Linked DNA regions of Drosophila melanogaster. The protein of the gene in region 1 interacts with the protein of each later gene in a pairwise test. Each region holds a gene or a part of one and is shown on either strand. Other genes may lie near its edges. The genes, in order: CanA1, hoe1, CG10943 and NaCP60E.

Region 1 (10,678 bases):
TTGTTTGTTATTGTGTTGGCTTTGTAGTTACGATCGTTTATCACAATTGCAAAAATAAGAGTTGAAGTCATTGCGAATTTAGTGGATCATTAAGCTTATATTGTTGCTACTGTCATCAATAACATAATATGCAAGCGAAAGTAAATCCCCTTGGTTACTTTTCAATTAACAAGATTTTTATGGACTTGCATTAACCCTCAATAAAGTTAAACACAAAATTGGCCCCAAACAAAGAGGCGAAGACCGCGGCTGGGGGAAAATTGTATAAATGAAAACTAAATATTTACTTTGGGCCCTTGTTATTGCTGCCAACTGACAGCAGGAAAACAAAGAAAATTGAGAAAAGGTTTTCCCGGCGCTTATCTATGAGCGCTGAGCGCCCAAATAAGTAAGTCAATAAATCAATTCAATAAAATTTCTGCTGCCTTTTTATATTTGAAGTTTTTGGCTCCGGTTTTTTTTTTGCCAAATCCCAAGCAAACAAATGTGAGCGCAAAAAACTTTCGGCCTGGCAAATGTTTGGCACTCAGAAGGGAAAACAATGAAATGGTGCAGAGGGGCTCGGGAAAGGGTCAAAGGTTAAGAGGGAACGAAGGCTTGGACCAGAAAGATACATAAGCACTGATAGCTGAAAAGTTTATCAATTTGTAAAACGACAGCCGCAGACATAAGGAGTTTTCCCCCCGGAAAAGTGTGGGAGCAATTTTTCCGAGCTGAGCCGTTCGTTTTGAAGAAAAGAGCTTTTCGTCGGGGTTTCTGAATCTGCTGAGCTTTCCACACGGACATTCGCCCCAATTTATTTGCTTTGAAATCAATGCAAATAATTAATTTAAATTAAGTGCTGGCCCGGAGGAAGTGTTTGCTTTGGTGCTTCCTTCTGCCAGCCATCGAATAGCCCACAAATCGGCCATCATTCACACATAACCCCATGCCTGTGGTCACATAACTCAAATGAATTGTTTATACAGCGCCAGAAACTAAACAGCAACAGCAACAGCAACAATTGCGATTGCGATTGCCGAAAAAGTTGAAACAATGAATGAAATGTTTGCGTTGCGTGTCAATATTATCTTTTTATTTCACTGCCGTTTTGTTTATGTGCAAAAAGAGAGAGGAAGCGCCGTTTGGCTTTCTGCGTGCGAGCATAAAAAACATTGTTTTATAAATACTCGGCCAGTGCGCGGCTATTGCTATTTTGGCACTTCTATTTTGGCCATGTCCAACGCAGAAAATGTATATCAGCCCGAAGACTAAGTGACATGCCGACATGACGAAACGGGTGTTCAAAGTGTCAGGCGCGAAATCTGTTGAAATGCGAACAACTTGACTCAACTTGACTGGCAAATTATTTAGCAAATCCCCAGCGTTTGCTCTAGCCATGGCGATCGGCTAGTCTCTAATTTAGATAATCTTGAGGTGAATCAATTGCGGGTGTCGGCCACTTAATCTCGGCCAGCTGACCGCAGTTGCCTCGCCTCCTAATTGCGCCTAAAATGCGCTGCCAACGGCATTTTGGGGCTATTTAAATAGCCGCAGATCGGAAACACAAGGTTTTGATGTAAAGGGAAGAGCAGTACGATGGTTGGTTAACTTAATCGTATGTATTTGCAATAACTCTAATTTGCAAACAACTATTCCACGCACTCAGTGTTTAAACAATAAAGTAGAGTAGTAAACCATACTTAAATACCTATTTAAATGCCAGCACAAACGTATGATATTTTTGAAACATATTAGTGATTGAAAATATATAGTGACACTTATTGAGCTCTTCTATTCCTCGGCGACACTTTCGAAAGTTAAATACCCCGTATTGCCATTGGATACCCCAAGAAGGATGGGGGGCTGGACTGGGCTGAGCTGTCAGCGCTTTTGCCAAAATTTCGCGTTGGGAATGCAATGCTCTCATCGGTCCGCCCATCGCACCCCGCCGCACCCCTTACTGAGCACTTACAGCCCCCTCGAATCCAATCCCACCCACTGGTTAGCACCGGAAAGTATTTCTTTCTAGTCTGCGGCGGTCGTGTGACTCGCTTTTGTCTCTCTGCGACTTGCGAATACGCGGGGGCGTCCAAGTAAAATCGTCTCCGCTCTTTGCCAAATCGAAAATCCAAGTGCCATCGATGCGCATTTGGCTGGCAGCGGGTGCATTGGCATTGCAATGGATTCCGATTCGGAGATTCCGAATGTGATTCCGAGTGCCCGAAATCGGGCGATCCATCCTTCCCAGCATATATTATGGAACTGTCTGTCTGTCGAGCGATATAGCGCTTCCCCAGCCAAATCGTACTACATATCAATTGACCATCGCGACAAACAACATTGACGGGGCAAAACACACATATTGTTTGTGGCTGTGTTTTTTATGTGGCCATCCCCATCCCCACACAGATAGTTGCGCAAATATTGCCACGCTTCGCATAAAAGTTGCATGAAATCGGTTCCACCAGCGAAGCATTCAAATGAAAAGCAGAACCGCGAATGCGCTATCAAAATATATATAAAAATCAACTTACTATACTATATTGAATGTACTACCCAAAAAACTGTATTTATTTAAATTTAAATCGTTAGATAAAAGCTTTTGATTTCTTATGTTTTTTAATTTTTTTTTTTTAATCAAATATAAATCTTATCCGAACCGAAACACCCCCTTTTAATTGTAGATCGCATATATTTTTGCACGAGGCGCGCACAAAGTCAAGACTATAATTATAGCGACACCCACCTATTGGCGCCCAATTTCTGGCAAACACACACTCGCGCTCAATCACACACAAACACACACACTCGGACGCACGCACACACAATCAATATCACGGTCAAGTTGAAAATCATTGAGAGCGGATGTGGACATGGAATGGGGCATGGAGGTGGAAATGAGGATGAGGATAGAGATGGGGATGGGGGTGGACATATCACAGATGTGTAAATGTCTGTGAAGGTCGAGCAGTCAGTCGCCCAGTCGACGATCGCAGAAGGGCAGTGATACGAAGAAGAGACCAGAGTGCGTGTGTGACATTAACCCAATAAAATAAACAAATAGATGGAACCCTACGAGAGCGTGGTGTATTCTTATTTATATTTTCATTTTCGGCGGAGAGTGGGAGTCAAGGGCGTGAGATCGGCCGATCACAGCCGATCTTCTTCGGGCTTTCAAATTGGGTCTTCTGAATGCCAAACGATGCCAGCGAATTTCGCTCAGTTTCGAGGAAAATCGCGTCGCGCCAACTTGGGAAATGCGTTGCGTCGTGTCCCGTGAAAATCATCGCGACTAAGGCCCCGAGAATCCCCAAAGGATTAGCCCGAAAATAATAACAATAATCGCAAGCGGCAAACGGCGAACTGCAAACAAAGTGTGACCAAAGTGATATATGTGTGTGCCTGTCTGGCCGTCTCTTCGCAAATCCATTGCTATTTTCGTTGTCGCTCGCTTTGTGGGCAATTAGCACAAAGTGTCGAGCAATTTTCCGTCTCAATTGAAGTGCTGCTTACCCTTTGCCAAAAGCATCCGTTAAACAATGTGATGACTTAATGAAAAGTTAATACGTCTCTGAATAATTGCAGCAAATTGAAATATTAATTGTTCAACATTTGTTTCGTGTGCGCTGCGGGCGAAAGTTGTCTCTATCTCGCTATATTGGCATTGCCTGGCTAAAAATACAAGAAAGTCCACAGCTATACAAATTATAACAACAAGTTTTATTTATTGCCTAAATATATTTGTGTGTTTTGTGCGCTTCTGTGTTGGTGTCTCGTCGTCCATAAAGACGCTAGGCAAAGGCGTATAATTATCTAAATTCCTGTGTTAGTAACACTTTCAGCACCAGCAAACAGTCAAGCCATTAAAAAATATATATCGAGCTAAGGCATCGCAAAAATCAGCACCAACAGAACGCAGAAAAATTAATAAAAAAAAATAAAAAATTTAACAAAAAGCAGGGGCCGAATAAATAATCAAGCATCATGTCGGCGACCTCCACGCGAAGTTCGGTGACGAGGAAATCATCGCTATCAAAAAGTTCTAGTTCAGACAAATCGGCAAAGTCCTCGTCGAATTCCTCGAAATCTCCGACAGCCGCCAGTGGAAACAAACAGAAAATGCAGTACACAAAAACCAGGGAGCGCATGGTCGATGGTAATGATCTCTACTCTCTATAAGCACTACGGACCCCAATCAAGCATTATCCCAAGCACGATTCCCTACTGCGATTGTATCTTTAATGACATGCGATCATGCTTCAATGGCATTCCAATGTGCTGACCGCCGTCATTAATGTCAAAACTGAGGGTTTCACAAATTATTTCCTTTGAACATTTCAGTCGGCGGAGGCAAGCGTTTCGAAAAGTGTGTTTTGAGAATTGGGAAGTCATGCTTGTAATTTTCAAAACAATAGCATGGCTGCACCTTCTCGAGGAGCAGTACATCGATCGTTAAGTTTTCATGTTTAAAAACTAATAAATGGACTTTTGAAATGGAAACAAACATAGAAAGGAAAACATTTTATAGCTCATGTAAATTTATCTAATTTCAAAAAATGTTCTTTGAGCAAGTTTCAATCGATTTATTTTACAGACCATTTTACAATGCATAATTGCTTATTATGCGCATTATTTATACATAAATAATTTACAGATTTTTAATAACCCATATATTCCGATGCAACTGCCATAAATGTGCTTTTATTAATCAATTATTCGGCATCGTAACTTAAAACCCTTAACTGAAAATGCGGTACTCGCTTTTGTTCTTTGGTTTATTGAGTCCATAAAAATTAATTTAATTATCTTCGAGCACCCATAACAAGCAACAACTGCAGTACATTGGCATTTTATTGGCCATTGCGTCAAAATTCAAGACATTTACCCAAATTATGACAATTAAAAATGGCGTTCGCCCTGACGTTTCGATGTGTGTGTGTGTTCGATTACGTTTGTTTGTTTTGTGTGTGCCAATCAATTTTCGACTTTTATATTCACTCAGTCAAATTTTGTAATTAGCGTACGAATCTCATGTGGCTGCATCTGGCGGAATTTCGGTTTTCTTTATAGCCGGGCCAAGAAAAGCGGCCAAACCGAATGAATATTGGCGCTAAGTTGCAGCACCTCGTTAACCCACATCGCCGTCGGACAGCGATGTTTATTATAATTCTATCAATGCAAGACTACACCGAAAAAAATTCAGGGGAACTGTAACAATACGAGAAACCCCATTTTCAAAGAGATGTTCCATTCACGTCATATAAGATACAAGATACAATATATAATTAACAATTGAATCCAGGGGCTTCTTCTTCTGGAAATGGGTGATAACAATTTACTTAATAATCTTTACTTAATAATTTGATTAATTTCTTTGTTACTCCCCTAGATGTTCCACTTCCGCCCACCCACAAGCTGACCATGTCGGAGGTATACGACGATCCGAAGACCGGAAAACCCAACTTCGACGCCCTGCGCCAGCACTTTCTGCTGGAGGGGCGGATCGAGGAGGCGGTGGCCCTGAGGATCATCACCGAAGGAGCCGCCCTGCTGCGCGAGGAGAAGAACATGATCGACGTGGAGGCACCCATTACCGTGTGCGGTGACATCCACGGGCAGTTCTTCGATCTCGTAAAGCTCTTCGAAGTGGGCGGCCCGCCGGCCACCACTAGGTACCTTTTTCTAGGCGACTACGTGGACAGGGGATACTTCAGTATTGAGGTGGGTCCATATGAAAATTGTATCTTAACTTATCAGGAATATATACTGCGTTTTCCATTTTTGTATTAAACGGTCCACTTAATTTCAGTGCGTTCTCTACCTGTGGTCCCTGAAAATAACCTACCCCACCACGCTTTCCCTGCTGCGAGGAAATCACGAGTGCAGGCATCTCACAGAGTACTTTACCTTCAAGCAGGAATGTAAGTTGGACTTAACTGAAGTTAATGCCAGAATTTGCTAGTTATGAGAAAGTTGATTTGTTTCCCGTTGATATAGATAAACTACAAAATGAGCAAACCTGCATGCCTCAGTCACTTTACGAACTTAATGCGCTTTTAAGTGCGAATATGCATGCTATAAATCTCCTTCCGTCGCTAATTCATTAATTTTTCTCTGTTGAAGGCATCATCAAGTATTCGGAAAGTATTTACGACGCCTGCATGGAAGCGTTCGACTGCCTGCCCCTCGCCGCCCTCCTCAACCAGCAGTTCCTCTGTATTCACGGCGGTCTGTCGCCCGAGATTTTCACACTCGACGACATCAAGACGGTAATAAAGCAGCGCTGAAATGTTTACAATATAATGCATCTGTGCGGATTTTCTCAGCTGAATCGCTTCAGGGAACCACCGGCCTACGGGCCCATGTGCGACCTGCTCTGGTCCGATCCTCTGGAGGACTTTGGCAACGAGAAGACCAACGAGTTCTTCTCGCACAACTCGGTGCGCGGGTGCTCCTACTTCTTCAGCTACTCGGCCTGCTGTGAGTTTCTGCAGAAGAACAACCTGCTGTCGATAGTCAGGGCGCACGAGGCGCAGGATGCGGGGTAGGATCGGAAGTACCATGGTGTAATATCCATATGATTATCGAACTCCTTCCGCTTCAGGTATCGCATGTATCGGAAGAACCAGGTTACGGGCTTCCCCTCGCTGATCACCATATTCTCCGCCCCCAATTATCTGGATGTTTACAATAACAAGGTATGAGATAGTTCCACCTCTCTCCCTCTGCTCACCCTGCTCACCCTATCTCTTTCTGGGTTGTTTATTTATCTTGCTGTTGTTGTTCCTGACTTTGCTATTTTTAAATAACGAAATCTTTTTTTGGCTGCATTGCGAGCTGGTGCGAGTTTAAATCGCGCTGCGTTCGCAATACCCTCTCTTCCATCTCTTTCTCCGGCACTCGCCCCGTCTCTTTCTCCGCTCGCGCTGATTTTGTCAACCATCGAACCCATTTGACAAAAGGCAGCTGTGCTCAAGTACGAGAACAACGTGATGAATATCCGCCAGTTCAACTGCTCGCCACATCCCTACTGGCTACCCAACTTCATGGACGTCTTCACATGGTCGCTGCCCTTCGTGGGCGAAAAGGTGGGTTCGCACCCAATCGGGTGGGATTATCTATGTATTTTGAGTTCAGTGATGGAACTAAGCCATAATACTCGAACTAGAACTTTCAAAAGTGTCTGAAATCTTTATACGTGATTTTAATATCCAATTTACCATGCCATTCAAAGGTAACCGAGATGCTAGTCAACATCCTGAACATTTGCTCAGACGATGAACTGGTGGCCGGACCCGATGACGAGCTCGAGGAAGGTAAGTTTGGGGATCCACAGAGCGATTCTGTCCGTACTAGACTGTGTGTCAATGTCGCAGTGCTTTGGATGTTGTGGGGCCAATACGGATACACGTGAATTACAAACTAATCTTCTATTAAAAATATTTTCCGAAACCAAATATCGAAATACGACAACTGCAATCTACTACCAACACCCATAATAATTTCTGTACCAACACCACCACCAACTTTCCACTCAAAACACGTCCAAAACACGACCAAAAGAGCTACGCAAGAAAATTGTGCTCGTGCCGGCGAACGCGAGCAATAATAACAATAACAATAATACGCCCAGTAAGCCAGGTAAGCCAGGTATTAAACGCAGGCCCAAAGTGAAGCCAAACAGTACCGCCAATGCAAATGCCACTGCCATTGCCACTCCCACTGCCAAAAATAAAAATGCCTGAGCCAACGAAAATCGCCTGAGCGAAGATAGCGAAAAGCTTAGTTATTGCCTTGCGCCCTGCTTTGATCGGCTTTTCAGCGAGTTTTCCAGCTGATTACCATTACATTTACCCCGTGACCCCGCGAGATTCCGTCTAATCGAGCCCTCAATTCGCAGCTTCCATGTCGGCGCTGCGCAAAGAGATAATTCGGAATAAGATTCGGGCCATTGGCAAGATGTCGCGCGTCTTCTCCATCCTCAGGTGCATAATGCCTCCTATAATCCCGTGGATTCAGCTAAATAATTCAATATTCCCACATCCCGCAGGGAGGAATCCGAGAGCGTGCTCCAGCTGAAGGGTCTGACGCCCACGGGCGCCCTGCCAGTGGGCGCTTTGTCCGGCGGAAGGGATTCCCTCAAGGAGGGTAAGTCAACACACATAGGTATTCTCAGGATCAAATTGATGTAATGCGTGTAGGGACTTTGAATTATAACATATGCCTTATAAATTAATCAGGATATAGTTCCGTACACTTTGACCACAGCCCTCCTTATGTCGTAGGCCATCCAATTTGTTTCGTATAGGTAATCCCCTTCAGGAACGGGAAGGACCTTTGTCACCTGGTGATTAACGAAGTGTATGGGTAGTTTTTCGATCACGAGATCGTGCTGTATAGAAAACCAGAAACATAAGCACAGATCGGATTTAATTAGGGATATACGCACATCGTAGGGGCAGTTGTGATTCATGTTGGTGAAGGGCCTAATGAAATCATAAAGGTAACTGGCTATCGGGTTCGACTTTGTGTTGTTCATGAATCTACATGCATCCAATGTGATATTGAACATGAAAGGTCTATAGCCATTATATCCATTAAATCGTTTGAGAATTACTCCGTTGATCTGAGAAGAGTAATTGTAGAAGAGAAAATGTTGTTAACCAAATTATTTAAATACCTTGACTTTGGTAATTGGCGTTTTAAATAATTTTGCTTTGATCGACACATACTTGTAGCTACGATTAACCGACTTTATGTAGCAATACTCAAAGTCGGAAAACTGTTTATCCAAAGAATTGCACATGATATTTGTGAACTCAAATTTCGATGATATCTGAGGAAGATTTTGAATTGATTCGTATTATACCTAATATTTTAATAACTCTTACCTCAACTATTGAAATTGAAAGAGCCAAAAGCGCCACTAAACCACAATGATTTACACCCATCTTTCGATATCGACTAACCAGTGTAAGTTGTTTACAGAACCCTATTAATATTCTATTGAATCAGCAACATAAAAACAATTTACAAAGCAATTAATAGCTCCACCAAGCCAGAAAATCATAATGAACCCACATTATAATGAGTTTAGTATAGTTTTTGTTATCAAAAAAAATAGTTTTTAGTGTCTACTAAAATACTTTCACCACAACTCAGTCGATGTCGTAGGCAATCCAGTGGGTTACCAGTTGGTAGGCTCCTTCGGAAAAGGGCAACTCCTTTGTTCCTTAATGGTTTACAAAGCCAATTTCCAGTTTCTCCACAATCAAATCGTGCTAGAATCGATCAATTTCGAGTTAGCCAACACAAAGTGTTAGGACCTACTCACACCTGCAGGCATCCACTGTGACATTGAACATGAATGGCTTATAGCCGTTGTAGCGCTTGAAAAGAATGGCTCGATTAAATCTAAAAGGAAGACTAGTTAAAAGCCATTACAATTCGATTTGTAGCGAGTTTTAATCTAGATGTTTGCTTGAATATGGTTTAATTATTTGCCTATCGCGGCCAATTAAACAGTGCTGATCGCAGACCAGCCATCGTTTTTATACCCGTTACTCATAGAGTGAAAGTGTTTCTCTGGCAGGAGATAATATAAATTCTTGATCAGGATCAATAGCCGAGTCGATCTGACCCTGTCCGTATGTCCGTCCGTCCGTATGAACGTTAATATCTCAGGAACTATAAAGGAAGGTTGAGATTAAGCATAATCTAAAAACCGAATATAACCCGTCCACAACATGGCATATAATCGGGGTAGTCGGCTATAGCATGCTGTCTTGTTACTAGATAACTAAGTAATAAACCTTCCTGATTAGTTTAATCGAAACTTTTTGCCAAGACACTGCCACGCCGATTATTAATTGAGCTGTTTCCCATCCCCGTCCGACTCTATGAACCCTCAGCTCTGCAAGGACTGACCGCATCCTCGCACATCCACTCCTTTGCGGAGGCCAAGGGCCTGGATGCGGTCAACGAACGGATGCCGCCCCGTCGTCCTCTTTTGATGAGTGCCAGCAGCAGCAGCATCACCACGGTCACAAGGAGCAGCAGCAGCAGCAGCAACAACAACAACAATAACAGCAACACCAGCAGCACCACGACGACAAAGGACATCAGCAACACCAGCAGTAATGATACCGCAACCGTAACCAAAACGAGCAGGACGACTGTGAAATCGGCCACCACCAGTAATGTGCGGGCAGGATTCACCGCCAAGAAGTTCCCATAGGGGGTGAAGCACTTGCCTGCTCAACACTGATTTCTATCATTTTCGTTTCGACCTTCTGTTACCCATTTAAGTTTACACCTCGTTAGGGTAAGGTCAGACGTGGCCATAAATTAACGCAAACTGTTGCCACATTCTAATTTCGACACAAAGTTCTGATAACTTCTCATATGAGATAGATAAACATGATACTAGGACACTAGCTTGCGCCAATTTATTTCAGTGCCTGACCTTAGCTGTAGTTAAAATTTTATACAACAACTTTCTCTAATGCTAGTCATAAACCAACAAATTGCACCCTGCGATTGCTGAGCTTTCGATTGCAGGTGCATACTTATAGAATCTCTCCGCAAAAACTCCCGGGCGATATTAGCAAAAATTTATAAGTGACATGAAAAACAGTTTAATAAAAGGTGGCTACAAATAGCTAAACAAATGAGTGCTTGATACTTCTTTTGTCTA
Region 2 (7,345 bases), on another chromosome or scaffold:
CTCTAGCCTGTTTTAATGGTTGGTTACAGAACCCGGGTATTTCTTCATTTCTTAATTATTTGAAATTCCCCAGATCGTCCCAATATGGATGAGATTATCCAGTGGATGGACATGGAGCTACTGACTCTACTCTTCTGCATGATGCTGCTCATTTTGATACTGACTGAAACTGGCGTATTCGACTACCTGGCCGTATTTTGTTTCGAGATATCGGGTGGCAAGATCTGGCCCATGATATATAGTCTCTGTTTGGTCACCTGCCTGGTGTCCAGTGTGCTGGACAACATGACAACCGTGCTGCTCCTGACCCCAGTGGCAATCCGATTGTGCGAGGTAATGCAGTTGGATCCCCTGCCCGTGGTGATGGGCATTATAGTGCATGCCAATATCGGAGGAGCCCTGACGCCCATCGGAGATCCCATCAGTATTATAGTCAGCACCAATCACTTTATTGTGGATAATGTGGGTATAACATATAGGTTATGCAAGCTGTTATATAGATTTCCCCTACCTTTTCAGGATGTAACTTTTCCCACATTTGTGGCCCACACATTTCCAGGTGTCATTCTAGCAGTTATTCAAAGTTGTGTGTACCTGCGCCTCTTCTATCACAATATCGATGCACTGCGTCTCAATGAGCCCAAGGAGATGAGTGAGCTGCGTAGGGAGATGAAGGTGTGGCAGAGAGCCTTGAATGCAGTGGCCTCCTGTTCCAAGGATGCCCAGCTGGTGAGGGGAACGCTCCAGGCTAAGATTAAGCAACTGAAAAGGACCCTTAGAAGATTGCAAAAAGGTGTGGGCTCCACGGAGGTCTATACGAATACGCTGGACGAGCTCAAGCAGAAAGTAAGTGGATTTACTGAACTGGGATCTTTATAGCTGAGCAATCCATTTCCAGTACCCCATCAAAAACAAGACGCTGCTTTTGCAATCCGCTGGAGCCCTACTCTTCGTCATTGTTTGCTTCTTCATCCAATCCGTGCCGCACTGGAGGACATTACCCCTGGGTTGGGTGGCCCTGCTGGGTGTGATCCTGCTGCTGATCATCCTCAATCGCGATGACATGGAGCACTTGATGCACCGCATCGAGTGGACCACGCTGCTCTTCTTCGCCGCCATGTTCGTGATGATGGAATGCGTGGAGAGATTGGGAATCTTCGCCTGCATCAGTGAGCTCACCGAGCACGTTATCCTTTCGGTGGGAAAGAGTCATCGTCTGGCCATGGCCATCTTTATGATATTATGGATGTCGGCGCTGGCATCATCCATATTGGATAGTATTCCGGTGGCAGCCATAATGGTGAAGCTGGTGACCTCTCTGGTGGCCAAGCCATCGCTGGGACTGCCCCTCCAGCCACTGGTTTGGGCTCTGACCCTGGGCGCTTCGATGGGCGGAAATGGAACGCTCTATGGCGCATCAGCCAATGTCATTGCAGCCGGAATTGCCGAGCAACATGGCTATAAGTTGTCCTTCACCCGATATCTGAGAACAGTTTTTCCCATGATGCTGGGACAGATCACCCTGATGACTGTCTATCTACTGGTGGCGCATGTGGTCTTTGAATGGCATTGAGACTCCCTATTTAATACACATACTGAATAACATATTATTGTATCTAATGATGGAAAATGTTTTTCACTTCGAATCTAATCGTGTGTTTTTTTGTGTGAGTTTTACTGTAGTCTTTGTCCTTTTACATTCGCCTCTTGATGTGTTTCATGTGTTTTTGGCATATAAAATAAGAATATTTATATTTAAGCGTTCATTTGTGATTGGCAAATGTATAAAAATATACCATAAATATAAAAGTACACATGGTTTTTCGTTCGCCTTCGTGGAATTTGGCTGGACTGATGGAAATCACTTTTGGTAGTCCATCAAGGCGGTGTTTTTAATGTCGTGTGAAATGTTATAAATTTAGACTTTATTGTCTAAGGTCGAAGTGGGGAAATCGTGAAAATTCAACAGGCCATAAATACAAAACGAAGGAAAATTATAGATTTGATTTTCAAATTTCAATAAGAGGCAGTTCTACAAGTATTTAGATACATTTAAAATTCGAAGCGATGTCTGTATTTTAGAGATTTCAAAGCACAATATAAACATATAATAAGTTAAATTATAAATATCATAATTCTCGTGTTTTCTAGTTTATCCCATATGCACCTTGGTTTGGAAAACATAAACAAACGTAAATAATTCCTGAGACTGACCATTGCCAAGTTCAATGTTGACCAGAATATCCGCATATGAAAGTGCTTGCATGTACATATACATATATATTAAAAGCGAGTATATAGCATATAGTATATGGAAAGAAGACAACTGCTGGTCAATAAATGAGAATAAGACAATGTGGAAAAGCAGCGAGGGATTTCCTCGGGTGGTTGTTGCTATTTATTTGCTCTGCTACTGCTGCGCTTTCCACACTTTCCACAGCGCTCGTTCCATAGGTAAATTGTATTTTAAGTTCACAAACAAATGGCCACGAGGGATTGCGAATGGAGGAGGTGAAACGGAGGACCCGACCTGTCCGCCATGTGGAGAGGAGACTGCCAGCAGTTTTATGGCAGCCGCGAGAGGGAAAGTCGTGCCGACAACGACTGACTGAATTTTAATTAATTTGCGCCAAGGAATAAAGTGAAAATTGGAAATTGGCTTATTTGGCCCAGACTGGCCGCCCTGCAGGCCAAATAAAAATGTGATAAGCGTACGAAATTACGCCGAAATCGAGTTGGTTTTTTTTTTTGTAAGGTGAACCAAGATGACATCTCCCTATGGATACAGTAAGCCCACCTTTATGATAACGGACCACACTCGCGATCCGTATCATCTGCAGCCGGGTGATGACGACGACGATCGGGATGAGGATGAGGAGCGTCAGACGAAGCTGCAGGAGATCATCAGTTGGCTGCACTTGAATGCCAAGCATCGCAGCAAATGGTAAGTCGGCCGCATCAAGTATACGCCGCGGGTGGCCCATGCAAGTCAGCTTATATTGATATTAAGTATACGCCCGGTTGGCCACCGCCACTCGAAGTTTGAGTTGTTTATTTGCCCGGTTCCGTTTTCTCATTAGCCTGGCATTAAATTGTGCTGCAGGAGATGATGGACCCAAAACTTTTCCTTTTAATGTCCTGCTAAGCTTCTTAATAACGGTCCATTGGTTGCGACTTGTTTGTTTTCCGAGATGAAATCAACTCGAGGACATTTTGTGGATTTTAAGCCGCTGAGAGCCGCAACAGATGGTTTCCATTGAGATTGATTACAATTTATTTGTTTTTTAGTTGAAGCAGACACAGCAGTTTGTATATTTCATACTCCATATGCGTTGGAATTCCAGCAGAGTAATAAATGCGCTTTTCTTCGAAACTCTGATTGAAATGATACTCCTAATCCGAATTAATCATGTTTTTGTTTTGTTAGGGATTTTTTCCATTAGCTTGTGGTTATAACAAAATGCCAGGCACGAAGGTATTGTTGTATGCAATTTGTGTGAATAATTCGAAGAATAGTTGGCATATACCCATTTCCAATCCAAGCCAATCTTTTGTTCGAGCAATTCGCTTCTGGGAACTACCATTCGATATAGGTTGCTTATAATCGATAATGTAATACCTTGGACACGTGCAAAATAAACTGAAGTACGCAGTGCAATGTGGAGATTATAAATAAACAATGGGGAATAAATATTGACTTGCGTTGCATTATATTATTTTATTTATAGTTCTCTATTTCCGTTGGCAAATACGTGGTTCAGCAGCCTCCGCAGCTGTTTGTAGGTTTTTTTGTATTAAGTTAAGCATTCGAATTAAGTGTCGTATTCAAATTAGTGCACTCACTCCCACACAAAAATTATCGGTGTAGTGAAAACCTAGGGTAATGCGAATTACATACGCAGTTGGTCCTCAATTAAAAGTTCCGCCTTGTTAATTAACAATTAAAGGGAAAACTCGAGACGGTAAATCACTGAGTTCTCTGGTTTATAGCGCAGTTACACTTGGTTGCAATAGAGAAGGCTGCTCATAAATATACAGGGTGTGTGGAGTCGACTTACATACTTGGGAGCATTATAAAGCATTCATAAACAACGAATAATAAACAACAAAATATGTACAATAAGCAACAGAATTTCATACAGAAAATGATATATTTATATAAACTTAACGATTTTTCTTATAACTAGTTTCCGGGACACCCTGTTTCCATTTGACATATTCTTGACAATCAAACCTGAAGTGAGCTTAGCTTATTATATAAGCGCTCGTTATTTACATAATTATTGTTTATTTACTCACGCTGAGCATTTGTTGTATACATCTACGTCTTGACCATGTGTAGAATCCACTAAGTACTGTATGCATATTGGTTGCAATTAATTTGCATTTTTGCATTGGCTGATACCAAGTAATTACAGCTAACACATCGATAATTGCCGTTGGCCAATTGGCAAAGTTTATGGATACTAAAGAAAAGAGGGAAGGGTTAAATACAGTTGGGATTATGGGCTATAAGTTATTCGCACTGACAGCTAAACACTTTGATGTGGCTGCCCATTTTTACGCTGACTTTCTGACAAGCAAATGAAAAGTCATTCAGTAGTTTCAAGTCCACCCAGAACCACGTGATCCCTCCACGGAACATGCAACCCAAGTTTGGTGGTCCCACGATGACATACATATATGTATGTAGAGATATGTGTGGAAACTTGTCAATGGTTTGTTGGGTGGGTAGCTTGGTGGCATGAAGGAGGTGCGAATAACTATCCCTGTACATGAGGGTTTTCCGCTCACAATTTTCCAACAAACTGTAAATACACTTTTTCTGGTTGCCAAGGGATGAGCTTAGGGGCTGTAAAAGTTCCGGCTTGAATTTGGAATGTACTATGTGTCTCTATGGGGGCCAACCTTTGAGGCACAATTGAGTGGAAATGAATTATGTATTAGTTGTTATTATGAAATGGAATGTACTCAATAGCTTGGCTTATGTGGTATTACAGTTTTCAACCAACTATATTAATGTATTAAGAACGGAAATGTTAAGAGAAAGTAACTGCTGATAGCATTTAACCCATATAACTCCGAATCAACTGCACCCATGCCCCATATTATTCAGATGGATAAGCCGCAGAGACCTTGGGCGAAGATACAATTGTTATTGGAAGAAACACACCTATTGCGTCTCACTGTGGATATCATCAGCGTTATTATTACTATTATTGCCATCGTCTTATTGAATGTGGGTGAGGAAAATTGCGGAATAAAAGAGCATTAATATTCCAGCTTTAAAGTCGCTCAAATGTCAAACGGCTCGTGGCGAGAAATAATATATATATACACGAGTTCACTTTGAGTTCCTTGGAGTGTGTTTGCGTTTCATTGTCCGTGGCATTAGGGTTTTTGGGATTCGGATTGGGTCTCGCATTTGGATTGAGTTGGGGCACAGCAGAAGCTGTTTGCTGATAAACTCGCCTTTTGTCTGCCCATACAGAAGATACAAAAACGTACGAGAATGTGGCACACAAACCACACATGCAAATGGAACCGCGCGTGGACGTCTATATTGTCGGAATTGGAAGCTTCAGTGGGATTTATCAACTTTGGCCTATAAATAAACAAGCGGACGGCCTTAAATTTGATAAAGCTGCCTTTTTCTGCAGATTTCACTTTCGTTTCTGAGAAAGCCTCGAGAGCTTTCGGCGTGATTCTCTTAGTTACATACTCGTAAATGCTGTATCGTCTCATTTCCATGACTATTTTTGGGCTGTATGACAAGTGATTTAAATTCGCACTAATTGCTCGACCGGTTGCTCGTGGCTTCTAAGCTCTGAATAGCATTAAGTCTACCGATTAATTGAGCAGACTTAAGTTGGAGTAAACAAATGATTAGATTGTGTGAATCACATGTATTTATTGCAGATTCACCACCCATAATAACTTATTGAATACAAAATATTTTCAAGACATTAGACAGAAACAAAGGTAACCAATAGTAACCGAATATATATGTTATTATTAGACTTAAGTGACTTAAGGTTCTATAAAATAATAATTAGCTATAATTAACCACCGATACAAATTAGTTGTGCGTGAGATACTTTTAAAGCACTCTTCTCATAAAATAAACAACTAAAATTCTGCCGGTCTAAAAGACGCAAGTTCAAGTTGTTGGCCATTGGAATCCGAGCGATTCCAGCTGAAAAAAAAACCTCGAGGCATTCAACAGCTATTGAAAGCAGCCAAGTTCCATTCAATTCTCGGCGGCGCTTTCAATGCGCCGTTCAACCGAAAACAGCTGCGACTTCGGCGCCGCACGAAGTAGCAACATGAGTATCGGAATAAGTAGCTATAGCTACGCCTGCATGGCATCGGATCGGCATCGGATGGGCATCGGATGGGCATCGGAATCGGAATCGGCAGTAACCGGCTGAAATAACTAGGAACGCGGCGCCGAGTCCGCAGATTTATTCAGTTTACAACTTTCGCTCGAAACGGACGTGCGACTTTGTCCGGCAATCCGCGTTCGAGTGGCAAACAATAGCTATACAAATAAATAGTAATCAAACAAGCGAGTGCACAATAGGGGCATAAAACAACAACAAGAGAAAAAAAAAGTAATTCAAACCTAAAGTGAGCTTATCATCGAATCTAACTTCTTAAGCAAGTGAGACTTTTCTTGGAAAGTTCAGGGTTGTGGCTGCAGCAGGTCGCTAGACAATCTAAAGGAGATAAAGGCACATTTAATTATGGAAATTTTTCCTTTGTTTCACGCGTATTTCCAGTTTCTTATTACCTCGGGATAATTTTGCTCATTAGGCGGGCCCAAAAAGAAGCAATTCCTTTGCATTAAGCGTTCCTAATTAGTCTGCTTCTGACTTTCTGAATAATTGCCTAGCGTCTGGTGACCGCAATGCACATCTATATATATTTATATATATATATCTAAATTAATTGAAGGATTCCCCAGGATTCAAGTACGTTTTCTATGTGGGAATCGTTGCACTTGGTATTCACAAATTGGTGGCTAAACATTCAGCCATTCGATGGCATGTGAGCAGGTCCTTCGGACTAAATTAGCCTATCAGTTGCTGGCAAATATTTCATAATTTATGGATCGCCCCTTTTTGGGCCCAACCCAATCAATAATTGACCACTGACAGGCCACGCGAATAAGTAATATATTCCGCAGGACAAATTGATTCATCAGCATAGCATCATCGTGTGGTAAACTCAAAATATGAAAATGGAAATGAAAATGAATAGAGCTCCCCCAAAAAGTAGGCAACAACGAAATGAAGACCCATGCGTGTCAGGCTTTTATATTAGTTTTTTAAAGCTTTGCAAA
Region 3 (6,387 bases), on another chromosome or scaffold:
GATCTTATGCCAGCAAGGTGGCCAACTTCTTGTTTAGTAAGTTTTGCATTCTGAATAACGAGTCTTTTGAGTACTTGAGGCTGCTTGGATTCCAGGACAGCGAACAACTCTATCAGAGATCCCTGCGGATGAACGATAAGTGTAAGCTCCTCCAATTGCTCCAAGTTGCCAAGTTCATTTATATATTTTGAGCAGAAGAAACCACTTTTAAGTATCCTCAAGCTTTGTATCTTTACCACCTCTTCGAGTTCCTCTGGGTCAAGGAATGCAGTTTCTAGTTGCTGCAGTGTGTGTTTATCCAAGGCGGCCAAAGCCCTAAAGAGCTCCACCAATGATCCGCTCATAAGTTTTCCCTTTATCTCCAGACGTTTCAAATTTCTTAAATTGGCAAGAGGAGCAAGGATACTCCCATAACTCAGGATGCACTGTACAAAGAATTCCAGTACGAGCGTCACAGATTCGTGGCTATGAACGAAACGAATATTGCAAAATTCGGTTTTAATTTTATCCACTCGATTTGCGGTATTTGTAATCTCATTAAGTTGCTGGAGTTTAACCGCGATTATTTGCTCTATTTGAACAAATGAACATCGAATGGTGGTAAGCGTGGGTATGGAAGCCAGTACGGCAAGTTCTGCATCGGAAATCGATACCTTTTTATTGAGCACAATTCCGGTGATAGAGACCGAGAATTGTTCTGATGAATTGTGCATTGTAGCTGGTAAAATCTTGGCATCATACCAGCCTATGCAATAGAGACGATGTGCATGCAAATAATCTTCATCGAAGGCCAATTGCAATAGATTTGGATCTTTGGTCTGCCAATATTGATAATATGCACGCACGACGGCTAACGGTCTATGTGCCCTATAAGTCACTTTGAGAAAATCCTCCTCCTTTTCATTGTAATACGGATTGTCTGGATTATATTGCATGGGGTGACCCAGAATGTAGATATGAGTAAGTTTTCCGCTTAACGGCAAGTCCGAATAGATCGATTTATCCCGCAAACAGCACTTAATTGAAACCACTAAGCGAATGGATGCCAAGGCGATGGCCTCTGCATTGCTGACATATGTTTCCGGGATACATATGCTCTGGATGTGCTGGTGTTCTTGGAAGCGATTAAAAAGCTTCACAAGCGATCCCTCGAGATGCTCGCCACACAGAATTAATGACTTAAGTTGCGGCAAATTGGCCAGGGCTACGTACTCGGATGCATCTACCTCTTTCATCACAAAGCTCAGATATTCCAGTTGATTGCAATGAGGTACTATATCCGATAATCTGCCAAATATTTCGGAATTCCTTAGAATGAGTCTTCGTAGGTTTGGATTCAGTTTACACAGCTCGACCAGGATACTGGAATGCATTCGGACATTCAGCTCTAGTTTTTCTAGATGAGTGATCTGCGGCACGATCTCAAGGCTGAATCCTAAAAGCATTGATTTATTGATTAGTTATTCTTTTTTTTAAATTTAAATTTAAAAAATTTTTATCTACCATTTATGTAAACAGAGAGCTCCCTCAGTTTTGGCTTGACATGAAGCGATTTTATGAGGTCCTCAAATCTTTCCAAGTAATCACTCCAGTAACGTGTTGGTTCGTAAATTACCTTTAATGACTCCAGTTGTTCGTTATCCATAATGTGATTTTTGAAATTCATCCAGAACATTTTCTTTTCACTGTTCGACAATCCATAAATGTGCGAATGAAGATTTGAGAAATTAATCTCTACGCATATGTACGTATTGAGGAATGTGTTTTCAATACACAGCTCCTTATAAAGATTGAGACTCCATTTTTTGAACGTTCTGTTGAGATGATCACAGCAAATAGCAAAGTTTATAAGATCACTGTACTTTAAAAATATATCATTGGTTTGCTTGAATGCGCAGTTTTTGTGAATTTGACGAAATATTTCATATAAACAGTAAGGATTTAAGTTAAAAATCGTTGTTTTTTCTTCTAAACCAAAATATTCCATCATCGTTTCAAATTTGGCGCTAGCCATTCCCTCGAACAGCTAATTCTCACTGACTAACCGCAAACGAAAAAAGGTTTATTTTGGTTATTCGGTTATCTTGAATGATAAGCTGTCAAATGTAATAAAAAGCAAATTCTCTGGAACACCTTGTCTTTTGTATCAAAGGCTAGATAATACAGCTCACATTTTTTTATTGTTACTATTACCATTATCTAATTGTAAGATAACCATTTATTGATGAAGTATTTGCACTACAGATTAGCAATATAAAAATAGGGGACTTCCCGAAAAAATCAACGACCGTTGAATTTTTTATAGTAAATTGAATAATGGGGAAATATTTAAACGTATTTGGGAATAGCGGTTTAAAGGACCTTTTTTCACGAGGGTGGCAGCACCGTCGTCATTGAAATTCCCGCATGATGGCGTCCCCTTGCTGACATAAAGCTGAAATGTACAACATTCTTCTTTGCGATATAAAAGTATATATGTTTTATTAAATAAATTTGTTTACAAAGCGTTGGAAATTTGTTGACCCTCTGATGGTATAAGTTTATGGGTTTCTTTCACTCTCTCCTGATTAGATTGCAGTTTCATTATGGTAGCAGCTTGATCGTTTAATAGCTCATCCTTTTCCCGCGTTTTACAAGTTTCCAAATTTAGACCCAATTCCAAATATGTGATTTGGTCATCTTTTTCTTTAATCTGTGCCTTATGATTTGCTATAACTTTTGAGTTTTCACCATTTATTTTATCTTTCTCCTTTATTTGAGCCTTGAGTGAAGTTATTATCCCTTTATTTTTTTCCAGTGTTTCGCTTTTTTGGCCTATCTGATTTTTGAGGGTTGCTATAAGAGATTTATATTCTTTCTCTTCAGAAATTATCCTACACATTTTAACGCTTAGAGATTGGATCATATGTTCGTTTTCAATATTTTTACTATCGCTTTCTTTCAAACGAGCTTCGAGTGTTGCTATAAGATCTTGTTTGTCCTTTAGCTTTACATCATTGTCGCCTATCTGAGACTTTAAGGACTTAATAAGTTGTGAGTTTTCTATTTCCGTTTTAGCCTTCTCTTTAATCTGCGCTTCGAGGGAAGAAATAAGTAACTTTTTTTCCTTTTCGCTTTCTTTAAAAAAAAAAATTGTTGATCTTAACTTTGATTTATTTTTGGTTGTCTCAAGATCTTGGCTAGAGTTTAACTTCGCTTTTCTTAAGGTTGACAATTCCTCCTCTAGTTTTTCAATTATGCTTGCCTGAGCATCAAATCTATCCTTATAATCTGATTTATAAAGGTTGTTAGACATTTTTAAGGCCTCAATTATCTCGTTTTTGTCCTTAATTTTATCGTCAAATATGGCCAACTTTTCGTTGGCAATTGCCAATTTAAATTCCATGTCTCTTAGCTTATTTTCAAGTACCATTTTTAAGTTCATTTTCGGTTCATCGAAATCGTTGCAGTCACAATAATTCGCCTAAAAAGATAAATGCTAAAATTAATGTTCTTCAAAAAGAAATACTATTTATACCTTCGAAAATGATTCTGTGTCATCTGAACTTAAATGCAATATAGCGCTTTTACTTCTTGAATTCATAGCGATAGAAAATATGTAGACCGCATTGGTTGGTAGGAAAAAGCGAACTGAAAGGTTCATTTAGGTTTTTTTTCTATAATAATCGAATATCTCCTGGTGTTACTCATTGCTTTACAATAATCTAATCAGGAGTTTGATTAAATATTGCACACTTGATAAGGTATAGCCTCAAAACCTCGGAATTGATTGAGTATTATTTTTTTTGCCCTGCAATCTCACAGCTTTTCCACTTTCCCAATTTTATCATATAAATGTAAATGATTTTTTATAAGAATTTTGGATTTTCATTAATTACGAATCCAGATCGTGGGTAACATGTAAAATGAATACAAATTGAATCAATTAGACGGCATCCGCTTGGAAATGAAAACCAAAAGATAAAGTCTGGGAAAACGGGGGCGATTGCTTCGGCCAAATACGAATTAATTTATTCTTTTCCATGTTCTTTTCGGCAGTTGGCCGTTGTAAAATCATTTTCCATTTCGCTGGCGTCAGAAAATGGCAGGAAAACAGGTTAAGTCGAGAGGACAAGCAGGTTCAACAACAACAACAACAACATCAACAAGGTAGGCAATTAAATTTATTTTATTTCTCCTTCCCGTTTCGTTTTTAAGTTTCTTAAGCAAGTGCTGGAAATCGTAGACAACACTTTCGTTTCAGGACGAAGCGGAAACGATAGGCAAACTTTGCTGCACCAGGATACGCAGCCCCTCAATGGCCCCGCCCACTTCCTCTTCCACTCACTCTTCGAATCCGTTGCTTTACATAGATAGCGGAAATGCTTGGCCCTGTTTTCGGGCCCTCTCGATTGCATATGCAGCTACTTTTATCGATTGGCTGAAGTTTGCACTCCTTGCCTATATACATATATTTAGGCCTCGTCCTGCCAGCTTTTGGTTCCACCTCCAACGCAATGTCATTGTCCCTGGTCGACTATTAACCCCTTCTGCAGCAATGACTATGGGGCAAGTACCCTTGGTAATATTAAATAGTCCATATCCGGGGCCAATGAACCGCAGTGAAGTGATTAGGCCCTTGAAGTTATCATTCAAAAGTATTGAACTATCTAGAACCAAAACAGGACTTAGTTTTATTTTTACCTTCTTACCTTCCAATAATACTAATTCTTCGATTATTAGTTTGATAATGTATATTGGCTCGTTTAATTGGCCATTCTAATATATACTTTTATTTAATTATTATAAAATATTTAGGAATATATTTTAGAAATATTCAATAAAAGAACATTTCTTCATTGAATGATTGTATTTCTTCTAGTGTTATAGTTTTAAAGAAACAATGTTATTTCTGTTTATTAGATATTTATTATAATATTCTTAATATTGATACAACTTGCTTTACATTTTCGCAATGTCTTTAAATTGAATTGCAAATAAAAAGTAGTGTTTGCGACTTCAGTTCACCCTTGAGAACTTTCCCTTTAGAACAACTATTTGCCGACTTCTAACGACAAGTTAGTCTCCTTGGTAGTCGAATTTTGCACCACATTCAGTATTTTCAGGCGTGAGGGTTGGGGTGCTTCCGCCACATAAATTTCCATCGAATTGGGGGTCGAAAGGATGTCGAAGGGGTGAAGAGGGGATGCGGGGCTGGCTGGTATCCGGCGGCAGAACGACGAAGCACGATTCGCTGGGGCAACAAAAACAAGAGTGGAGCCAAGCAGAAGAGCAGCAGCAAACTACTTCTAATAACGACAATCAACGCTCTTCGGGTTGTTTGGGTGCTGTGTAATTACATGACAGCAACAGCAACAGACAACAACAACAGCAACAACAACGGACAGCAACAACAACAGCAACAACAACAACAACAAAACAACAACAACTGCAATTGCAGCAACATTACGAATTACGATAATAATTTCCATTTCTAATTTCCTTGCCACGCAAAAGGCCTTTGCACTTGCCGAGGCTGCCAAGCTGCCGAGCTGAACTGCAATCAACCACCCACCCAACATAGAACATCCTCCGACATCCAGAAAGTGACAGCACCACCCACCACCCAACACCACCCACTGCCCTTTTTCCGGCAACAACAGGCTAAACAGACGGCCAAAAACACTTGGATAAAAAATACGATAAAAGGATATTAAGGGAAGATGAAAGATTCTTTGAATTAATTTTGTAATATTACTTCGATAATTTGATATATTTAATGAAAGCAAGCCAAAGAAATTCACTTTCTTAAGAAAGTTATATGAAGTTATATAATAATATATATGTACATAAAACATCTATGAAATTTAATATCAATGCAATGTAAAGTATAAATTAACATACTTTGTAGGTTACATAAAATAAAATTAACTTTATTATTCATATTAAATAATGTATTAAGTCTAACGATACCTACTTTGACGTATTAATAATAATAATAATAATAAATAAAATTCTCGTTTTGTTTCAGTGTACGCAATTGGCGAACGCTGGTTGAGGTGCTGGCCGTCGAGCCAGACGTTGGCATAATTTCGATGCAGAAATCTAACAGAATGCAAATGCAATCATTGACTTTTTAGCTTATAACGAAATAAGCGTCGTGTTTATTGGTTGGCTGAACGAGCACCAGCTTGGAATCTACCCCCCCCCCCACCACCACCGCCACTACACCGACCCCTCGCCATTATCCATCGCCTGGAAAAGTGAGGAAAATAGGAGAACATTGCCGGAACTGTGGGGAGTGCACTTATAAATTCAAAGCCTCGGCGGGGCTACTAAGTGGGTGGTGGTAACAACGGGTGGTTCCCGAGCAGCCGCAACTAAGAATTTCACACAATCTAAGCCTAA
Region 4 (7,353 bases), on another chromosome or scaffold:
GATACCAGTCCTGCGACAGGATCTGGTCCATAATGGGAGCGGAGATGGCGCCATCGCTCTTTGTGTCCGCCTTTGGGTAGGCAGCTTGCACCTCGCGACGCAAATAGGCGTGCAGTTCTCGATATAGCGGCATTATCTCCCACACGACCGCCTCCATTTCAGCTTGAAAGTTCTCCGTGTCGTAGTTAAGGTACCACGTGCGCGAGGGCGTCACATGCCCGTTGTAAGTGGCAGCGATCCGGAGAAGCCTAACGTAGCCGATGAACGTGTTCTTGGCCACGTCCTTCTCGTTAATGGCCCTGCGCCAGGCCTTCCAGTTGATGACCAGATCCTCGTATAGCTTGGTGTGCATGTTTTTGTTCATGATCTGCGGGTACATGGCCAGCGAACCACGGGCGGAGCAGTCCTCGTAAGGGCAGACCAGGGGTCCGTTGACAAAGTTATGGATCTGACGTAGAAGGTCCTTGGCCTGCTCGTAGTCCTTTGGCCGCAGTCCCTGCAGCTGCAACTTGGCCATTCGCTGCACGCGCCTACGAAGAAGTGGGTCATTCAATTCAGCCACTGACACAACGCTGAGATTGCCCGCTAAGTCGTAAAATAGTCGATAGGTCTCCGCCTCTACCTCCAGCTTGGAGTTGAGAACCTGTCCGCCCAGAGGTGACTTTCCTTTGGCCGTGAGCTGCACAAAGATCCTGCGGTTCAGACTCCACACGTGGCGCATGCGGTCTTTGGCTCTATCAAGTATCTGCTTGGTAGCCAGTTCATAGCTGGACTGGCCGATTCCGAAGGTCACGGAGAGCAGAAGGATTAGCGATACTCCTAAAAAAGGCAACCGCATTTTGCCTTCGCTGGCTTCCGTTTCGCCTTGATAAGGTTATCGGAGTGCTTTCGAATGCGACTTGGGATTTGCTTCCGACTCTGACGAAAGCTCGAGCAGAACTGAGTCCAGACTGCCAGTCGAGCCGCAGGCTTATCAATCTAAGTCCGGGGCATTGAGCTTATCTGTAATTGGGAAAGAAACCCAGCTAGCGATCTCTCCAAGCAAACGTTGCGTATACGTTACGAGCTTGGCATTATTTATACGCTGAGTGTGCCAGCCCGAGGCGGAAATCGCAGTGGGCACGGCGGGGAAGACATCCTTACACCATAATAGACTGATTAACAGCTGCTGGTTTTGTTAGCCAGTGGCCCATATTCAAGCAAAATCATTTTGACATATTCCTTCCGAAGAAGAGACAGCGGAGGTAGTCCTTTGCCCCGCGGTGCACCAGCGGAGCATTCGGAATTTAAATCGGAGAAATATGGGGAAGTTCGTCGTTCGTGTTGCATGTGGCACGGCATTTGTTTATGCCGGCTGACCTACAAGCAAACGTGAGGGCGCAGGGGGACTCTGCTCACGAAGGCGAGCGTGAGAGCATTTCCCGCACGAGTCCTTTTCGAGAGAATAGGGGGAAGTTCGCGTGTGTATTTTTTCATCGCTCTGCATCGTGGTCGCCCTGCAGATTACGTCAAACGGAAAGGAAACCCGTTAGCCGAGCTCAGTCTCCGACAAACCTTAGAACCGAGCAGTCGCCATGCAAGCGCACGTATTTACAGTGGCCCAGTGTCATAGTGTCCTAGTATGAAGTGAAAAAATCAAGGAATATGGTGAAAAGTGAAAAGTGAAAGGCAGTAAAAAGCCTGAAAGGGCATGGAACATAGCGCGGAACTCGCACCCCTACAGCCGCACAGTGAAGCGCGTTACCATCACAAGTGCATTATTCGGTGCGATGAAAATTCTTCAGCGCCCAAAAATAGAGTGAAATGTGTGCTGCATATTGTTGTTGCTGCTACTGAGTTGCTTAAGGGAGGGGGAGAGGCCACGACGGAAACTAACCTACATTTTCGCGCTCTTTCGCACGCTTTTGCTGACACACACACAGGCACACGTGCGGTGCCAGAGAGGCCACCGTGCTATCTCTTTCGCACTCACCCTTTGGGCCGCGAAAGAAATCAACAGTAAATTGTAATAACACTTCTTAGACTGCCAGTAGGCTTTTGCATGTGTGTGTGTGCGTGTGTCAAACAATGTGCGTGCCCGAAGTTTTTTGCTTTGTTCTGTTTTTGTTGCTGGTTCCGTTTCAACATCCCCACCCACTCACAGTCACATTGTTGCACAGTTGCGACTAAATAAAAATGTAATTAATGTAAAATAAAATCAAATAAAACAGCAGCAGGAGAAAAAACAACTGGATCGGGAATGGTGATTGAGCCAGTGTTGGGAAGTCGATGTTAAAGTGCGAGTGAAGGCGAACGTGTGCAAATGTGCTTTGTGTTCGTGTGTTGCAGGCCCAAGAAAGTAAAATACGAAAATAGAAATAGAAATTGCCGGAGTGCAAACACACAAGCGATTACATAAAGCCCAACTAGCATCCCCAACATCCGACAACTGCAACCAGCGGAGAATAAAAAAAAATTGATGGCCAATGCTTAAAGGTAAAATCGGATATTCATACGCGTGTGCGTGTGTTAGTGTTTGGGGGGAAGTTTGGGTTCCAACGCAACAGCAATGTCCTGGTCATAAATTAGCCCTTGATGTGCACTTAACTAGGTGGCCACACTTTCTCTTCGTTTCGAAGCGCTTCGTTCTGTTCGCACGAAGGAGAGAGCTAAAATGGCGGAAGGGGACCGATAACAAAATTCGTAGCACAACTTTAGGGGCCAACTGGCAAAGCTCTGCCAGCCGCACTTTTATGAGCCAACTTTAAAACCAACCGCTGGTCACGCCCAGAAAGCAGAAACCAGAAACAGAAGCGAGTATCCCCGCCCCAAAGAGAAAGACCCCACCGAACAATTGAAAGCCAACAACACACTGCTTAATGCCTCGAGCGCCGCTCTCATTGTTGTAATAAAAGTGTTTTTGCCGATTTGTGTGTGTCTGGGACAGACCAGCAAATGCAGGTGGATCTCCAATGGCACACGACAGCCCAGCCTCCAGGCGTAATGGCACATCCCTGCCACTGCCAGCGAATTTCCGCCAGCAAACATCACATCAACTGCCATAACGGGGTGTTGGAAACTTAATATTGAATATTTTATGGGCGCCTTCATCTACCGCTTTTCCATTTTTGCTGCCAGTTGCGAGTTGCCAGTTGCTCGCAGACGTGTCAAGAAGTTTGCGAGAAACACAACAGGAAGCGCCGGCCTACACAAGCACCTACACACCCATACACATGCCCATATATGCACAACAATGCCGGGAGCAGCATCAACAAAGCGCTGAGCAATGAGCAGCCCCCGACCCACGCCACAGCCTACGCAAGCTCATTGCTTTTTCGTTGGGCGCCATTTATCAATTCTTGTATCTTACTTGTGTTGTGTGCGTCTGTGGAGAAGATGCTAGATTGTGTGTATGGGTGTGCCCATAATGTTAATTAACTTTATCTCGCTCAAGCTTTAAGTCTTGAAGCGGCACTCATTTCCCGGCCCTCGCCACAATTCGCATTCTTCCCCTTCAGGTGCTTATCTCTTCCGTTACGCACATAACACATACGTTGGCCGAGTGAGTCGTTACGTTGCGTATACGTACTGCACTGGCAGAAAGGTTTTTCTCAGTCTTGAGGAAGTCCCCATTGAGTGCTGACTGCTATCTTTGTTTCACGGAACCAAATCCGTACATTTGTTCCTCTTTTCGATTGTCTTGTATTAATTCACAGTATAGTAGTAGTAGTGAAATAAAAAGGCTTGGTATTTGAAAAAAATTGGCAGAATGAAGAGAAATTATAATCGTATGTGTTCAAAGGACACCTTTTTTTTATTTTAAGGTCATCAATCTGAAGATTTTTTCTGAGTGTGAGCCGCGTGCCTTGGTTCGGGTGCTTTGAGCTGTAGGGGATTAGCGCGCTGCCAATTAACGTTACATGACACGACGCAGAGCAATTGCGGGCAGAGGCGATTTAATTTACTCTCATTCCCCCTACTTGCATAAGCTTAAATCTTTCCACTTACATCAATCTCTTTCTCTCGTTTAGAAAACATACGCATCGCATCGCAAAATGTAAAGCAATAATCAGCACAACAAAGCCAAAGCTCACAATAGAAGTAGACGACCAGGCTGAGCAACTGAGCTGGGACGATGCCAAATGCCATTATTGGAAACGGTCGTAGTCATAAGATTTGCATAGTATAGCAATAGCAGCAGACATCATGAAAGCCCCAAGCGTGATAAGCACAGCAACAATAGCAACAGCAATAGTAGATACTAGGCACAACATGGTTAACAAAGGGAACGGTGACAATATAATCGGTAAACTGAGCGATCGACTCGCTTGAATAGTGAGATAGACATATGCCCAGTGTTCGAAAATCGAGTGAGAAGCCTGGCAAAAGAGAGCGCGACCAAGGCATGCAGCTGCCCTAAGGACCTCGCCCAGGACGACGACGACGACGGAGTCGAAGGACCAAGAAGCAACCGCAACCAGAGGCAGCACCCAACAAAACGACGACAATCAGTCAAGATGAGTGATGATCAAGCGACGTTCAACGATGAGAAAGGTGAGTCCCCTAACCGCTAAGCCCTCCTGATACTGCTATTGATAGTTTTCTAAGCCACCCGGCCTCATAAATATTATTCCCGATGTGACCAGGGGGGAGTTGGGTAACCGGGAGGCCATCAAATCTGTATGCGGGAGTATGCATGGTCAGGGGGCAGGTGTCACAGGGCAGGACTTCTGCTCCTTCTCCTTCCTCAATCAGGTCCTCCGACATCCTGACAGCGACACCTGCACGCCAACCAAAAGAAAGACGTGCACAGTGGTTCTGCACACACAGAAGTCTTTTGACTGGAGTTGCACGACTTCTTTCCATAGAGAGCAAGTTTGTTTTATTTTTTACAATTTTATTAATTTCTCGGCCTATTTAAGTTCACTTCTGCATATTTTTATCCCTGAAACCAACAATTGGCTTAAGAATAAACTAGCAGGTCAAGTTATGAGCTCAAAGATTGACATTCTTCAACAGCCACCCACAGTGCCATATAAAAGGCAGTTGGGGTGGGGGGACCAAAGGCATTTCCTTTTTGTGCGTGTTGAGCGTTTTCCTGCCACTTCCCGAACTCCTGTCCTGCTGTCCGGTCCTGCTCATCAACATAATTAAATAGCATTGCTCATTGTGTGCCGGTTGTGCCTTGGATACGGGGCATGTGCTTGGGTCTGGGGCACTTGGGTCCTGTGTCCTGGGTCTTGGCCAATAAAACGAAAATGGAATCGAACCAGCTTAATGGCGGGGCAGAGTGACCCTAAGGCCGTTTAAATAAATGATAAACAAATCGAAAATGGGAAGCGCTTTTGTCGGACCGAAAAGTTTCGGCTGATGACTGGCCATAAGTTACGCAATCGTTTTTGCAGGCGCCGATAGAGAGCGCCATTTGTCCTTACAGCAGGAGTGAGTGGGTGGGCCTTGGGTTGATAAGTGGGCGCAGGGCGCCATTGTCAGCGGAGTATATTCACTGGGGAGGTGAACAATGCACAAAGGCCAGCAGGCGCTGCCATCTGCGGATTACGAATATGAACGGAAACGGAAACTAATTAAATATGTAGAGCAATTGTTGCTGCATCTCGCTTTATCCTACCGATTCACTTTTTCACTTTTGTTTGTCCCGCATCACTGCAGCCAGTGTTTCGGTTTCTCCTTCGGCTCGGCTTGGGCTGGGGCTTGGACCGACCACCTTCCTTTCCGCCTTGCCAGTCTCGAATTGGATTTGGTTTTTGGCCAGGGCCAGGAAGCAGTCGAGAGCAAGCGCCCCAACTGCGAGGGGCGTAATTGCCCTACCCCCTAAGCCTCCGCTCCGAGTCCAAATCCCAATCCCATTTCAATTTCCATTCCCATTCCCGTCACCATTGAACTTGCTCAAAGGTCTGCGCAGCTGCAACTGCAACAGAGGCAGCAATGCCAGTTGCAACTGCAACAATGGCTGCACTTTAAACAACAAACTTTGAAAGTTAAACCAGGAAATCCGAAGCAAAGCATGCAGTACATAAGGAGTATCAAGAGAGCACCATAATATAGCAGAAAATCGAATTGACTTTTTCAAGACTTTCCCCACAATTCTAAAACTGTTGCCCACAATCTCGTGAATCACTTGTAGCACACCTTTTTCTCTCTGTGTGTGGATGCAACTGGTTTTTTGGGAAAACCACGACATTGCACGTCGCTAGTTGCTTTTAGTTTCTGTATCGGTGTGCAATTTCCTTTTTGTTTTTGGGCGCTTTGAGAATGACTTTGCTTCCGCGTGAAGATGCGACGGCAGGTCTGGAGTTTCGAGTCGCGAGCCCGGGTCGATTATGCAATATGGGGAAGATGTGCGTCTTCGTTGCATCTGATGTTAATGTGCGACCGCCAACCGGTTGCCCATCGTCATTGCCGTCATCGCCGGGGCAGCAGAAGCAGCTTCATCATCGTGAGCGTGGCCCTCTCTAGCTGAAGATGTAATCCCCATTGAAAGATGCTCTGATGGCACTGGAGTGCAGCCCATTTGCTCCAGCTCAGCGGCTTCCAGTTCGAACTTCATTCGGCACAGCATCGTGATTATGACCGGCGATGTGGCTTTATTGGCAACAGATTATTGCGTCGGTGTCCCGCTTGCTGCTCCCAGCTAGTTCCTTATGTAAGCCCGCTTTGTTTACAATCCGAAACAGTTTAAATGTATATTAATTATTCGGCAGTGATGGAATCTGCCGAGCGAGCAGTCAGCTGCCTAGCTCCGTAGCTGCCAGATGAGAAATGATAATCAGCGACGTAATCGAAATGGCCGGATGGCCCCGATTCGCTGGCTCGGCCCAAGTCACTCACTGCTAATGAAAACAGTGGCTAATCAACGGCGAAAGCATGGCGGCGGGGGTTGTTGGGGCGTCCAGATTGGTGGGTGGGTGAGTTGGAGGTGTTGGGTGGCCAGTGGCCATGACCTCTCTCCGCTGCCAGTCGGACATCTTGCTGATGTAAGCGCGAACAAAACCCACGGCGCGTTGCCTTTTGCCCATGTTGCAGCGCGGGGGCATGACAAGATATTTTTGATGTTGCTGCAGGCGAGGCTTAACCCAATAGCGCTCGAGAGCCTCTCGCCAAACGGCGACCTGACCTGGCCCAATCCAAAGAACAGTAACTGGCTCCTTCCCTGCCTCACAGCCGCGGCACCACTGCTTCGCGTTGGTAAACAAAATTATATTGATAATTTCCGGCACTGGTACGGCCATCAATGGGTTAATGACTAGCGACAGTGAGCAGCCAGCGGGCAGCAGCCAACCCGGCCAACCCTTGGCCAATCGTTATGCAAGTCTGGACCAACAATAAGGAATTGCCAATAGGAAGTTCGTCGTA

What was found.
Region 2: the proteins of CanA1 (region 1) and hoe1 interact in a two-hybrid assay, tested with the Drosophila melanogaster proteins (one large-scale study listed by BioGRID).
Region 3: the proteins of CanA1 (region 1) and CG10943 interact in a two-hybrid assay, tested with the Drosophila melanogaster proteins (one large-scale study listed by BioGRID).
Region 4: the proteins of CanA1 (region 1) and NaCP60E interact in a two-hybrid assay, tested with the Drosophila melanogaster proteins (one large-scale study listed by BioGRID).

What each region holds. Positions count from the first base shown.
Region 1 is NT_033777.3:31,036,173-31,046,850, forward strand, and holds CanA1 (calcineurin A1), read left to right. Parts: upstream 1-3,201; 5' UTR 3,202-3,376; exon of another isoform or gene 3,377-3,812; 5' UTR 3,813-3,966; coding exon 3,967-4,138; intron 4,139-5,371; coding exon 5,372-5,703; intron 5,704-5,791; coding exon 5,792-5,903; intron 5,904-6,105; coding exon 6,106-6,251; intron 6,252-6,308; coding exon 6,309-6,526; intron 6,527-6,586; coding exon 6,587-6,680; intron 6,681-6,944; coding exon 6,945-7,070; intron 7,071-7,216; coding exon 7,217-7,298; intron 7,299-7,545; coding exon 7,546-7,623; intron 7,624-7,882; coding exon 7,883-7,967; intron 7,968-8,032; coding exon 8,033-8,130; intron 8,131-8,218; coding exon of another isoform or gene 8,219-8,374; intron 8,375-8,431; coding exon of another isoform or gene 8,432-8,608; intron 8,609-8,668; coding exon of another isoform or gene 8,669-8,818; intron 8,819-8,873; coding exon of another isoform or gene 8,874-8,933; intron 8,934-9,122; exon of another isoform or gene 9,123-9,389; intron 9,390-9,893; coding exon 9,894-10,219; 3' UTR 10,220-10,649; downstream 10,650-10,678. Other genes in the region: CG33920 (uncharacterized protein), read right to left, coding at 8,219-8,374, 8,432-8,608, 8,669-8,818, 8,874-8,933. UniProt on the Drosophila melanogaster protein: Calcium-dependent, calmodulin-stimulated protein phosphatase which plays an essential role in the transduction of intracellular Ca(2+)-mediated signals. Many of the substrates contain a PxIxIT motif and/or a LxVP motif.
Region 2 is NT_033779.5:4,927,513-4,934,857, reverse strand, and holds the start of hoe1 (hoepel1), read left to right. Parts: upstream 1-2,473; 5' UTR 2,474-2,765; coding exon 2,766-2,944; intron 2,945-6,464; exon of another isoform or gene 6,465-6,664; intron 6,665-7,345. Other genes in the region: hoe2 (hoepel2), read left to right, coding at 1-18, 74-462, 520-846, 899-1,573.
Region 3 is NT_037436.4:12,859,295-12,865,681, forward strand, and holds CG10943 (uncharacterized protein), read right to left. Parts: upstream 3,627-6,387; 5' UTR 3,518-3,626; intron 3,464-3,517; 5' UTR 3,425-3,463; coding exon 2,498-3,424; 3' UTR 2,423-2,497; downstream 1-2,422. Other genes in the region: CG32107 (uncharacterized protein), read right to left, coding at 1-1,435, 1,504-1,990.
Region 4 is NT_033778.4:24,890,074-24,897,426, forward strand, and holds the start of NaCP60E (Na channel protein 60E), read left to right. Parts: upstream 1-1,540; 5' UTR 1,541-1,764; intron 1,765-2,210; 5' UTR 2,211-2,475; intron 2,476-4,010; 5' UTR 4,011-4,496; coding exon 4,497-4,533; intron 4,534-7,353. Other genes in the region: Ance-5, read right to left, coding at 1-838. UniProt on the Drosophila melanogaster protein: Mediates the voltage-dependent sodium ion permeability of excitable membranes. Plays a role in processing of olfactory information during the olfactory avoidance response.